Linked DNA regions of Caenorhabditis elegans. The protein of the gene in region 2 purifies or fractionates together with the protein of the main gene of each other region. This does not show direct contact. Each region holds a gene or a part of one and is shown on either strand. Other genes may lie near its edges.

Evidence for each region. The genes of interacting proteins can lie anywhere in the genome.
Region 1: the proteins of F22F1.2 (region 2) and gld-3 fractionate together in Caenorhabditis elegans (co-fractionation; one large-scale study listed by BioGRID). This does not show direct contact.

What each region holds. Positions count from the first base shown.
Region 1 is NC_003280.10:7,130,355-7,138,938, reverse strand, and holds gld-3 (Defective in germ line development protein 3), read right to left. Parts: upstream 6,297-8,584; coding exon 6,172-6,296; intron 6,124-6,171; coding exon 6,042-6,123; intron 6,001-6,041; coding exon 5,890-6,000; intron 5,845-5,889; coding exon 5,774-5,844; intron 5,732-5,773; coding exon 5,566-5,731; intron 5,522-5,565; coding exon 5,393-5,521; intron 5,349-5,392; coding exon 5,229-5,348; intron 5,183-5,228; coding exon 5,105-5,182; intron 5,061-5,104; coding exon 4,923-5,060; intron 4,876-4,922; coding exon 4,633-4,875; intron 4,585-4,632; coding exon 4,486-4,584; intron 4,438-4,485; coding exon 4,269-4,437; intron 4,127-4,268; coding exon 4,004-4,126; intron 3,960-4,003; coding exon 3,891-3,959; coding exon of another isoform or gene 3,802-3,890; exon of another isoform or gene 3,612-3,801; intron 3,556-3,611; coding exon 3,478-3,555; intron 3,434-3,477; coding exon 3,194-3,433; intron 3,147-3,193; coding exon 2,720-3,146; intron 2,601-2,719; coding exon 2,228-2,600; intron 2,184-2,227; coding exon 2,135-2,183; and 4 more. Other genes in the region: T07F8.4 (ELM2 domain-containing protein), read left to right, coding at 6,923-7,004, 7,056-7,112, 7,155-7,264, 7,314-7,509, 7,557-7,909, 7,962-8,023, 8,065-8,242. UniProt on the Caenorhabditis elegans protein: Required maternally for germline survival and embryogenesis. Forms a complex with gls-1 which promotes the oogenic cell fate by freeing the translational repressor fbf to repress sperm promoting factors.
Region 2 is NC_003284.9:8,148,520-8,153,402, forward strand, and holds F22F1.2 (non-specific serine/threonine protein kinase), read right to left. Parts: upstream 2,203-4,883; 5' UTR 2,198-2,202; coding exon 1,942-2,197; intron 1,895-1,941; coding exon 1,710-1,894; intron 1,662-1,709; coding exon 1,407-1,661; intron 1,359-1,406; coding exon 1,155-1,358; 3' UTR 1,040-1,154; downstream 1-1,039.

The DNA.
Region 1 (8,584 bases), on a different chromosome or scaffold from region 2:
TTAAAGTTTTTCATGTTTTTTCTGCCTAATTTGATGTTTATACTTGATCTGACAAGTTTGTTTAAAATAGAACGTAATAAAACATGCTGCCAATTTTTTCAAATCTTATTCATTTTCAACAAAAGAAAATTAAATTCAGTTATAAGAGATCAATAATTTCATCAAAAAGCTTCTTAAAATATCATTGGTGCTTCCCAAAAAAGTTCACAGAGCGTACGTAAATGAGCGATATTTAGTTGGTCAACGACGCTAATATGATTCAGATTTTAAGAGAGATCAAACTTTTGAATCATAGAATGTTTCGCGTAGATTCAAAAATATATAAAAATTGAAAAGTGCAAATGAAATAACTTATATGAATAAGCCAAAAAAAGAATGTTCAATACGAGAATATGTTCATGAACATTAAGTGAATGCAATTGAATAAGGCAGACAGGTTTACTTTGAGTGTCTTCTCAAAATCTTTTGAAGAGAGGTAATCAGATAATCGATTCTTCTATTTCTTTATCTTTATTCAAAAAAGAACGATTTTTTAAGCTTTCCAGATGGAGTAGCTTTAACGTGGATTTATTTTGAATTAACTCATAATAATCTAAATTCACTCAAAAAAGCACTTTTTGCACAATTCAAAAAAGAATTTCAAAAAAGCACAATTTTTGAAATTTTCAGTCAATGTTTTGGTCAATTGCCAAATTTCGCGAAAAATTCAGGAAAAATTCGGTTAAAAAATCACATGTTTCAGCTCCTACAATAATAAAATAATTATTATTAGAAACATTTTAATAATGAAAAAAAATTGTCGACTTCCAAAATTATGATGAGTGTGGAAAACCGAGTCATCGTCATTTTAGTACTATATGAGTGATTTTTTAACAATATTCCCAATGCACTACTATCTTTAATTTGAAAAAAATTTACACATATACATATTAACGAAAAATCCAAGGAAGTCTGTCATCAAATCTTCTTTCCGTATTAAAAAAAACAAGCGTCGTTTTGAATAAGAATACACATTTTTTGGTTTGGGAAAAGAAGATGATGCAGATGAAATTATGGAGTGAGTAGAGTCAGGCGGTCGAAGATTGGCTCATTTCAAGAAATAAGTGCCTCCAATGGACAGTCCGTTTCAAGAAAAAAGAGAGACCTCGCTTTACGATTATATGGAGAAAGTGTATCGATTCAGGGAAATTCAGGAAAAATTTTTTTGTTTCTTCTATCCTTTTATCGCTACATTCAAGTGAGACGAATTAATTTTAGTCTTTCTAAAATCAAAATCTTCCACTTGTATGAAGACTATGGCGAGGATTTGAACGACCAAGAGACTTTCCATATTAGAAATTTAGAACATTATCAATGAACATGTCCTTGCTGAATCGAAAGTTGTCGGACGATAAGATGTGATTAACAACAATATTTCCGCAATTCTTTCATTTATAAACAGAACTGTAGAGGAAATTGGGATAAACTGCTAATGAAATCCTAGTTGAATGACGAAAAAAAAAGAAAAGACAATAAAAGTGGTAGTGTATATGAAGTGATGAAAAAAGAAAGGAAAGATGGAATACATTGAAACAAACCTAGATATGATGGGACCCGGGACAATATTGCGATCAAAAACAACTGGGAATTATGGGAGAAAAAAGGAAGAACATTAAATATAGGGAAGGGAACATCGACAGTGCCATAAATTGCAATTGGAAGTATAGATGCACGAAAATTCTGAATTTCATTGTGAATTCATTTAATTTTTCATGTTACCTATGCTTCCAACGTCTGCAAAAGGAATGAAAAGATAGAAAAATGACGAACGAAGAGGTGACAACAATGAAATAATACGGGAAGAATTGGAAAATAATTTCGGTTAAAATAAGTGTAGAACTGTGAAGGCTAAGCACCAACCATCGGCCTAGTCGTATAAGTCCCGTGGATACAAAGATATTCTCGACAGGCAAATGGATGGTTTGTAAGATAAAAATTGATGGAGCCGTATACGATATGCACAAATAGGGTTCATATATAGCGAAAATTGATGTAAGAAGTAGAAGAAGCTATTGGAAAAATCCCGATTTCTCAATATGTAGATGTTTCGTCTGAAATATATGTATGTTAATTAGCCAATTGTGGATTTACAAACCTAACGAAAGATCTTGGGTTACTGTAGATTCAATACTTTTGTCGGCGATCTGAAGCTTTACAGATAATTATGGCAAGCCAATAGACTACTTGCCTCTTTTTCTTTTTCATTCAGAACATCGCTAAACTGCCTTTCATGAATACGTGGTAGTTGCTCACTCGATTCACGAACACTAGCTATTAACTTCATTGGATCAATTCTGTATTGTCTAGATCCCAACGAAGACGTATCATTTTCTGCTGACTTCTCTTCATCACCGTACTCATTTGAGTATTTCGTCTTGTGTTCTAGGCTTATTTTGCCATAATCTTTCTCTACTCGAGCACGTGGTTCCAATATGGTTTTTGTGACTCCGTTGTCGCCAACTTTTCTGAAGCTATCATATGAACGAGATTGATGTGTGGATGCATGATCAACAACGCTGTATGCACCATCAGAATCGATGTATCGGGCGGATTGACCATCTCTGTAAAATGTTTTGATTATATGAATGCTTAAATATGTATTTTTTGCAAATTAAAAATGCTCATTTATGATGTAAACGAAAAGCTATAAACTCTTTTAATTTCAACTTTAAAAACGTACTTCTCGGTAAAACAGCTAACTGTTCTTGGTCTTCTTCCCGATTCATTGATATTTGCATTGGATAGGAATCTCTGAACAAAGTCTCCATCCATTAAATCATTTCCGAAGCCACTTGCAGAAACTGTAGTATCAGAATCATTGTGCGGTGACTCATGCATATAAAGCTTTTCATGATCCAAATCAACATCATTCGATTTCAACTTCAAGTGGTGTGTCATTTGCAATTGTACTTGTTCCAAAGACGGGGACCTCTTAGCTGGCCCAGAATTTCCCACATGAAAGTCGTATTCATTGGAATTGCGAACGTCTCTGTGCACATTAATTGTTCTACTTGAGTGAATATCTCCACGACTTCCTGTCTTCCAGCGTTGTTGATCATCCTTCTGAAGTCTTTGATGCTGTCGTGGGTACTGTCTTTCATATCCTTCTGTAATAATTATGATTTTATCAATTTTATTATTGTCATAGTCTTACGGTCGTGCATGCTTTCAACATTCTGATCGTCTCCATTCACTGATGTTCTTCTTGAACCAATATGTGAACGAAGATCATCTTCTCGAACTTGTTCGTAAACACGTTGACGAGGTGTTGTCGATGGATAATAAGAACCTGTGCTCGATGATGGTCGATTTCCCATGTTTCTAGACGGTTTTCTGATTTCTTGTGTTGATCGTAGAGATGGTGATGATTCACGGTGATTTCTGTGTTGTTCGGCTGAAAGTGATTGTTGCAATGATGCTTTGAACGAATAAACCAACCTTCATTTACCGGAAACAATCCGTGGACATAAGGAAAACCATCAAATACTACAGGATCCGCAAATGGCAGAGCAGACACTGAAACACAAAATTTCAATAATGATAATTTTTACGAAGACATAGAATATTGATGGAAGCTAAACGCTTTATTGTGGTTGAATTTACGTAATAAGATCATCACAACCGGGTGAAAAGACAAATATTACATAGTGGCGGTAGGAGGAACAAGAGAAAATTTTGTGGCTTAAAACTATCCAGAATTTGGCAAATTTTTCATGAAGAGCTCATTTTACACGATGAATATATAACATGACGAGAGATCTTCTAAAGGTGACCGAAATTTCCGTTCAAAAAGTTAAAGTTCTGTGGAACTATGTAAGAAAATGGATAAATATTTGAAGAATAACGCGCACCAAAGGATCCATCGACGATGATCGGTGGAGGGAACATGATATGTGTGCCAGGATGTAATCCAGCTGCACCTGAAAGCTTGTATGATTGTCGAAACAAAATATATAATAGCAACCTTTCAAAAATGTCTGAGCTTGCTGATGTTGCTGCAAATAGACGTATTTCAGCATGTGATGATGAGGAGTTAACATTGGTGGTGCAAAATGTGGCGTTGGAAATTGCATAATAGGGACGGTTGCTGCAAAATTTCCTGATTTTAAAGCACTCTGTAGTAATATTATTATCATTGTTATTTAAATAAATTTGATATGCTTTTCTTAAATAATTTTATAGTATAATTTGTGTGTACTATTTACAATCATAAAAGGCAAATTGCTCACATGAATTTTCGGAAAACGAAGATACTCTTGTGTGAGACCTTGATGGACCCCCAGACGACTCAGAAAATTGTTTTCCTTTGCTCATGTAACTGTGTTTGGAACGAGAAGAAGCTATTGATGAGCTTCTATGACGACGACCGTTTGAACCATCAGAAAGTTCACCCCGACACTGAAAAAATCTCGTTTTGAACTAAAATGTAAAATAAACATGACTAACCGGCATATTGAAATTTTTCAAAAAGTTTGCCGGAAGAGAATGATGCCAGATGGAGTTGTCATAATCATTTGGTTGTGGAGCAATGAAATCAAATTTTTTCTGAAAATTACTTGTTCTTAATCTCATTTCAGAGAGACGTGCGCTTACCGAGAGAACTTTTTGATAAGCGGTGTACAGCTTCTTTATGTTAAACTCCTTCGAACGAAGACTGGCACAGTTCAACGGAACCTCTCCTGACAGTAGATCCGCGGGCTCATACACGGAAGGAGTCATTTTAAGAATAATCCCACTCTCATCAATAATCATGTGTATGTTCCGATCAGAAACTCTGCTCGGTTCTGCCATATCAGTATTTTTAATGTTGAAACACATCGAAATAGGAAGGAGGTCCTGTAAATTCTCGAGTGTATATCTTTCTATGTATTCATACTCCTCACCATTATGTATCTCCTGGCTTTAAGAACATTGTCAATGTTCCCAACAACTTTAATTTCATAAATATTTCCACGAGTTTCGTTTCGATTATTGTAACATGGATAACTAATTATTGTCGTTGTCTCCCTCTCGATTACAGGCTGAAATTTAATGCTGATGTAATAGAAATATCCTTTAGCCAAACCATGAGTTGCGCCGTCGATGAACTTCCAAGAACTTGATCCACGTAGTATGTTGACAATGTGAAATGGAGAGTGAAATTCTGAAAAACAAAATGTTCAGGATATATATTCAGTTTATCTGCTAACATTCTCCGGTGCCGGAGACTCGCGGAAAAGTATTTCATTCAGTCGTTTTGCAGCTTCGATCAGTTCATGCTGATTCTTTTCGCGGGCGGTGATACGAAGATAGGTTGTGACGATTCCATTCTGAAGAAAATTAATACTGTTGGTTACTAGCTAAATCGGCTTGCCTTTTCTGGAGCATCGACGAAAGACATTTCCACATTTTGAATGGGGTTCTGTCTGACATGTGCCTGAAGTTCGTGAAGTGGCATCTTCATTTTTGACAGTGCCATAAAAACTGTAAAATGACAGTTTCTCTGTAAAATACGAACATTATTCATATAATCAGAGTTGAACGTACTCTCATCAACATTCGTGCTCTATCCACGTCACCAAAGTATCCAGTGATGGTTACTTGCTGTGCAAATGGATCAGGTGTAGTTCCTCCGACAGAACGATCGGGAAGTTGAATGAGGGTGTTAGTTTCTGCCATGATTGACGCGACATTCTCGTGATCCCCGTTGTCACTGAAATGAATACAATTTCTTTCGCTTAACTGGTGAACTAACCTGGTCATTAGTGAATAGTATTGGGATTCAAACTCCATATTGAGGGTTACTCTAGTTGGGTTAATCTCGATCTAAATGTTGAATCAGTTAATCAGTGGAATGTGAAGCAGTCAAACCATTGGTATATTTGACGGCAGAGGCAATCCTTGCGCTTTTAGCTGATGAATATGAGCCTCTCGTTTCGTGTTGTATGACACCTGTCGTCTCTGATTAGCATCCTCCGCCATCTGAATTGTTTGACTGTAACATAACAAGTTGTTGCCTTTACCTGTGCAGATTGCTGGAAATCATGATAGAAGTTTTCAGGATTCACGATAATATCTTTGAGGGCAGACGATACAAATAGTTTTCTAAAATCGGAGTATTAGAATGTTGTAAGCGTAAACCATATTTAATACCTTGCAGATGCCGCATTTTCTGCCATTTGGAGGCGTGTGTCAGCATCGTATTCAACGGCAGAGCGAACGAATGGATTGTAGGAGTGCGCTTCATCATGATCTTTTTCATGGCTTTGCTCCCCCATCTGCAAAATTGAAATCTTGTTTCTAACACTAAAGCGTTTGCTCAGTAAATTTTTTGAGTTTCAAATATTTTATAAATGATCGTCAGTGCCTCCGTCGATGTTACTGGTATTAGTATCATCGTGGAACGATTAATTACAGATAATATTAGCATTATAAGGATGAAATTGCACGAAAACAAATGAGAAAACACACTGAAAATCACGCTGAACGTGTGTTCGAGGAATTGGGCGCCAAACAATCTCCTTGAAGAACGTTGTAAGACCTGCTCGATTTCGGTAATGCGCCTTTCTGAAAACTTTCTTGGTTACTGTACTTTTTAAATTTGATTAGCTGCCTAATATTAGGGGCGGCTTCATTTAACAGACTGAACATTTGAATTACATTTTAATAAATTGTTATACTATTTTGTTATATCTGTGTTGCTTTCTACTTTTTCAAAATTAACTTCCCCTTTTTTAGAAACACCCATTGGCTTTGCATCATTTTTTATTTTGCGAGCTACTGTAAACAAGTCCGCAAACACCGCACACAGAGAATTACGTCTTAGTCGACGCGCAAACCGCTTTAACTTATTTTCGCTTTTTCCGTTTTTAATACAACTTTTGTTAGTTTCCAGGCTTTGAATATGGATGAAGAGGGTTCTCGTTCGTCTATCACTGATGAAGAAGATTATGTAGACGATAATGATAATGGCGAAGACTATGAAGGTATGCTTATATATATATTTTTTCAAATTTCTTCAACGTATGGTTTTCCAGCGACAATTGAAGAGGAGGAGCTTCTAGATGAAGGGGACTACGAAGATGAATTGAAAGGTGAATTTCTTTAATTTGCTTCTGACTCATTTTTCTTTTCAGACTTGGAAGATGAGGGAGAAATGTCAATTGAAGAACTTCAACGTAAGTATGGCTATCGTCCAGCGGAAAATTCATCTGCAAACAATGAAGATACGGAAATCGCCGAAGAAGTAATTTACAAATGATAAAGTGAAATTATAAAATGTTTATATTTTTCAGAATGTAGGGGAATCAAGTTCGGCTGCTGCAGAACCGCACGACTCAACAATTTTCGATATGGGTAATTCAATGAGTGGCTTCGACGACGATGATGACGACTATGCACCACCGCCAGACCCATGGAAAAGAAGTATTCGTGTGGATCCAGTACTTTTCCAAGCCGACGTCCCGCTTTTTAATGAAGCAACGGTTGAAGGTAAGCAATGATCTGATTTTTGATTCTATATCGATTTATTTCTTCAGAATCTGCTCGAGAAGATGACACTATTTTATGGACAATTGATCAGACGAATCAGCCAAGTGATGAAGTTATTGACAACTATCTCAAAGATGTAGTAGGCTTACGAAAAGCCCACGACCAACCATGTCCACCAGCTGGCACCGAATCACGAGACGACGAGGACGCTCTATGTGCTTTGTATAGAAGCAACTTTGACACAGAAAAGGCGAAAGAATCATTCCCTTTTCCTCATATAAATGCCCCATTCCGCACTGTTCGCTCAGATGCATTGGGATTCGATGAGAGTGAAGCAAAGGCATTTGAAGAGTCACTCGAGCTGTATGGAAAAGATTTTTCGCTGATAAGGAGACTACGGGTTAGTTGTATATTTTGCAAATTCAAAAAGTTTTCATAATGTTTTATTTTAGCTACCCTACCGGAAAGTTGGAGAACTTATCGAATACTACTATCAATGGAAATTAACCCCTGGGTGAGAGAACGACGATTTCAAATTTTAATAATTTATTTCAGCTATCGAGTTTGGCGGGACGCTCATCCACAGCATGCGCCAGTAGTTCAGCCTCATTTATCTGCTGCATGGCATCAGCAAGTAGCTCAACTGGAAGATCAAAATGGTCAAACTGGATTTGTTGAAGCCTCCTTCTCCGAGCCATCTACTTCAGAGGAGCCATCAACTCTTACGAACTAAAACTAGGGAACTATTTTTTTACTTTTTCACCTAAGCATTTATTATTTTCGATCTCTGTTTAACAAATAATCTCGCCCCTGATACCCATTTACGTAATCACAACAATCAAATTCCTTCGTTGTCAAATTAATCTGAATCAAATATTCACTTTCATAAAATTTCATTGTTAAAATTAGAGTTTATCAACATTGATGACGACCCGTACACTGTCGGACTTCGGTCTCCGTATCATCACACTCGATTTCCTCCCAGTCATCATTTCTAGCACGTACAACACGTCTTCTTCTGGTCTGTGATCCTTCACCACATGTAAGTGAAAAACTGGGAGCCCCGTAAAAATAT
Region 2 (4,883 bases):
ACGATTCGACCAAGTGGTTGCTAATGTTGGATCCAAGGAATCGAGAATAGAGACAAGGCTTACTCTAAGCCGAAATATTAAATAATATTTATGTTTTTCCCTTTTTTAATTTATTTTTTCATTTTTCATGTTCAATAAACAAAATTATTTGGCAATTTTTCTCTTTTTGTATTAACATTTAATAACAAAAAGCAGTACTCCCGGTATATATAGAGCCTAATACAAAAGCTACAAGAACCTGACACAAACCTGACGTTGCCTGTTGCCGGCCCGCGGCGGCTTAATGTCAACTTGACAGCGGGCCGCGATTTCACCTGCCGCAAGTTCTCCATTCAGCAGCCAGCGGTCTGCTGGCAGGTTGCCACTAACCTGACGCGCTTTACCTGTGTTAAGGAGATTAACTAGAAATCAATTGGGCTCTGCCCGCGTAGGTTCGAATCCTGCTGACTGCGGAACTTTTTTTTTTGAAATTCGTAATTTTGTAGTCGAGAAGTTAGGTCATTCAATATGGTTTCAACTTCACTCCTTCCTGATTCTAATACTAAAACTGCATTGGAACTGGAAAAAAAACGTTTCGAGAAAAGTGGATGTCCGTTAAAACAGTTTTTATTTGATTGAAAGTTTGCCTGCATCATGTCCTCGGTAGTATAGTGGTGAGTATCCGCGTCTGTCACATGCGAGACCCGGGTTCAATTCCCGGCCGGGGAGAACTTTTTTGTTGATTTTTCAATTGAAACATTCAGAATATTACACAAAGTCATAGTTTCCAATCTGAATTATGTCCCTTTCGGGAAGTGTTAACAGCATTTAAACTTAAAAGTTTGATATTTAAGCTTGTCGCAAGAATACTTCTACATTTTGAAATTTTGACCCCCATTAATCATACATTCTCAATCAACTTATGCCAATCGAAAAAAGTTGCTGATATATGATATGTCTCGCAAGAAGAATAAGAAAAACTTGACCATTCCACGGATAGTCTCAACAGATTTCAGTTGTTCACTGAATTATAATTTCACAAGACTGAGTTTACACTGAATTGAAACAAAAATGTTTTTATCTACTATAGAAATAATCAAGCCAGCGAAAAATGAGATCTAAAATGAAAAGATCTGAAGTGGAATGAAACCAGTAACATTATAGTATACAGGGGATTATGGGAGGACAATCGCTCCATTGACGAACTGGGCCTTGAGAGAATCACCAGCGAAACCTCCACCCGACGAGGTGAGCATCTCTTGGAGAAGATCCATGATTTCCTTGTAGTTCGGCTCCTTTCCGTGTTTTTGCTTGGCGATGATCTTGATGATCGGCTTGAGATCCTGGTGTTCTCCAAGGAATTTCTTTGGTTTTTCGGCCTGAAAATAACACTATAAGACAGAAACCTATGTATATGGGAAACTTACGAAAGCCTTCTTCAGTTTAGTCATTTTGTGTCCATCGATATCTTCCCACGGAGCAAGCTTGCGACAGATGCAAGCGAGGTATGCAACTTGCATAAGGTCCTCCGCTTCCATGTGCGGTTTGCCATTTGCGGTTCGAGCGGGGGTGTGAATGAGATTGATGCAGCCGCTGGGAAATGGAATTGGGGGAGTGCGGTTGCCATTGTGGTCTTTGAAGGAGCGTGACAGACCAAAGTCAACAAGCGACAGCATGAAGGTCTGAAAGTACGAAATTATTTGAAAGTTACCGAGAAAACGGAGACTTACCTTGTTCGAACCGGAAATCATTAGGTTGTCAGCCTTGATGTCTCCGTGAGCAATCCCAAAAGAGTGAACATCTTGGAGGATTTTGACAAGCTGCCAAAGGATGTGAAATCCAGTAGACTTTGAGAATCCCTTGATACCGTTTCGGCGAGCAATGTTGGTCAAGTCGTCCAGGAGCGGCTCCATTACTGAAAAAAAATAGTTTTAAGGTATGACATCAAATCTCTCATCTCACCAATATAATTATGAATGTCGGTCGCCCCATAGTCATACATTCTTGAGATCCCCCTGACCTCCGCGAGTGCAGTGAGTGCAAAAGTCTCGCGGCGCCAGGTCTCATCGCGAACACCATTTATCTCTTTGTGAATCAATTTGATAACACTCCATTTGTTGTTTCGCTCGTCTCTGCAGAAGTAGACATCCCCATAAGATCCCTCTCCCAACTTCTTTTCCAAAATATAGTTGTCAACTTTGAGCGGAGAATTCGCCATTACTCTGAAAAAAGTTTAACTTTATTCAGTTTCCAGTAGTAGGACGGCAAAATTGAGAGATGTCATAAAACATTAGAAGTTGTAAAAGTAAGTAGTAGTTGAATATATCTCCACAGGGCGCATTCAATTTTCAAGAAGAAAAATCGAGTACCGGTTGAAAAGAATTTCAATTTCGGGTGTGCACAGTGTAAATACAAAAATAGTTCTGTATTTTGAAACTGTCACCCTTGTAAGCCACTACTTTTACAACATTCTAGTTGGAAATGTATATAATTCGAGGAGCTTGCTGACAGATTGTATTTGATGGCATAAAACATTCTACCACAGAATCAGAAAATAAAGGGAAACAAAACCAGATCATTCTTGAACTTTCAGATTGAACAAGTGGCGAAGGACACCATGCAAATGCCTCGTTTTTCTCAATTATTCAGCTGAAAACTCAGAAATTCTTTGTTTCATCTCCCAGTTTTTCTCATTCCCTGATTTTCCAATGTTTGTAGCAATTTGAGAACATTTCATCAACGATCTCCTTCAATTATATCCATTTTCATTGTTCAGTTCTGCTCAATCGTCGTGCCAATACCTCATGCAACAGTACTTCCGAGGTATCTGAGACTCATATTCCAGTTCTGCTTTATCTCATGCTTTGCCTTACATGGATCTTATAGGCTCTCATATATAGGATTATGAAGGGAGGGAGTATTATAGCAACCACAGAAAGCCGACAGTGTGCCATTTCAGAGACAGTCCCTATCGACCGAGCTCTTTTTTATTCTCCAAATTCATTCAGACATCTCGGTGAGCACTACCGGGTCTTTTCTTTACTGCAAGTAATTTTCTATCATTTCGAGACTTTTCTCCAGTTCTGCTATCTCGCCCCGCATGCTTTGCCATTCATGGGGGTCGAACCCGTCGGATCAAAAAAGCTCTGATCCATAGACAGCCGCCCTACTGCCTAGGCCACAGTTGCAGCCAGAAGCTGTGGGGATAAAGATAAAGATAAAAAGGGGGAGGAGGGAGTTGCTATGGCAACGGCGCAGAACTGAGTTCGTAGAAACGGCTGTAATTTCGGAACCAGACATCGTACAGAGGTTTTGAAATATGTTTCTGAAAGATAAATTTTTGGAGATTTTTTTTATTTGTTTTCAGATAGACTGATATTGAAGTGGTGATGTTTGTATTCGGGAATTGATGGTTGTAACAAAATTTCACCAACTTTACATCCAGTTTCGGAAATTTAGTTTCTGTCCATAGTAACTTTGTATGGAAATTTTTTTTTTGAGTTTTAGGATCTTATTTGGAGTTGGTTGTCAACAAATTGTTGCTTTGTTTCAAAAATCGTTTCCATTTGGAAATTTAAGATTTGTACAGTGAAACACAGACTTCACTCACGTAGGTTTCGTTCGTCAGTTTCCATATTCATTCTTATGGTAAATATTTTAAAATGAGAAACACAATTAGACAAATGTTTTATTAACCGAAACAATTATTGAAAAATCTCTGCAATACCTCAAAACAGGCACCAAGCCACTTAGAATCCTGCAAACGGACGTCTGGATTAGTCCGATTTACCAGTTCTAAAAAAATATTCCCGACTTTTTTTCTTTCGGAGTGACATGCATCTTGAACAACTGAATCGACTTCTCTAGGAATCCTGCGCAGTTTTTTCTTGAATACTTTGAAAGCTTAAATATCAAACTTTTAAGTTTAAATGTTGTTAACACTTCCCAAAAAGGACATATTTCAGAAAAAGGGACATAAATCAGATTGGAAACTATGACCTTGTGTAATATTCTGAATGTATCAATTGAAAAATCAACAAAAAAGTTCTCCCCGGCCGGGAATTGAACCCGGGTCTCGCATGTGACAGACGCGGATACTCACCACTATACTACCGAGGACATGATGCAGACAAACTTCCATTCAAATAAAAAACTTGTTTATAATTATTACGAACAGCCACTTTTCTCGAAACTTTTTTTTCCATTTTTTATGCAGTTTTCAATATTGGAATCGACAAGGACAGAAGCTGAAACCATATTGAATGACCAAACTTATCGACTACAAAATCACGAATTTCAAAAAAAAAAAGTTCCGCAGTCAGCAGGATTCGAACCTACGCGGGCAGAGCCCAATTGATTTCTAGTCAATCTCCTTAACCACTCGGACATGACTGCATGATGGCTTTTCGTTTCAAATTATATGTCAATATTGTAACATAGCTGATATAAATCAATTCACAAATCACTTGTGTTTAATACACGCCTTCCATAAAAACTAGCCATCTAAAATCAAGGTATTTACTACATCTATTATTATATTAAACTGACGTAGTGTAAGTAAGTAGGATAGGTTATGAAACCTTATTGTAAAATGAACCTATTCATGTCAAAATTGTATGCACGTGAATATTGAAAAATCATATTAAAAAGTAAGAACTTTCAACGAACTATTTTTAAGTGACACAGACTTTGGTATAACTTTCGAAAATTACTTCAGGCCTCGAGTATGAGTATGGAAAAACGCTTTGTGTTGCACTTAAATTCTGAAATTAAATTTGATTAGCCGAATATTTTGCTTTTATACGAGAAATGAGTAAATTAACTAAGTTAATAAAATTAGATGGGGGGTTCATAAAACTATTGTCATAAATATTCTTGCATGAATATTATTTATCATAAATAAA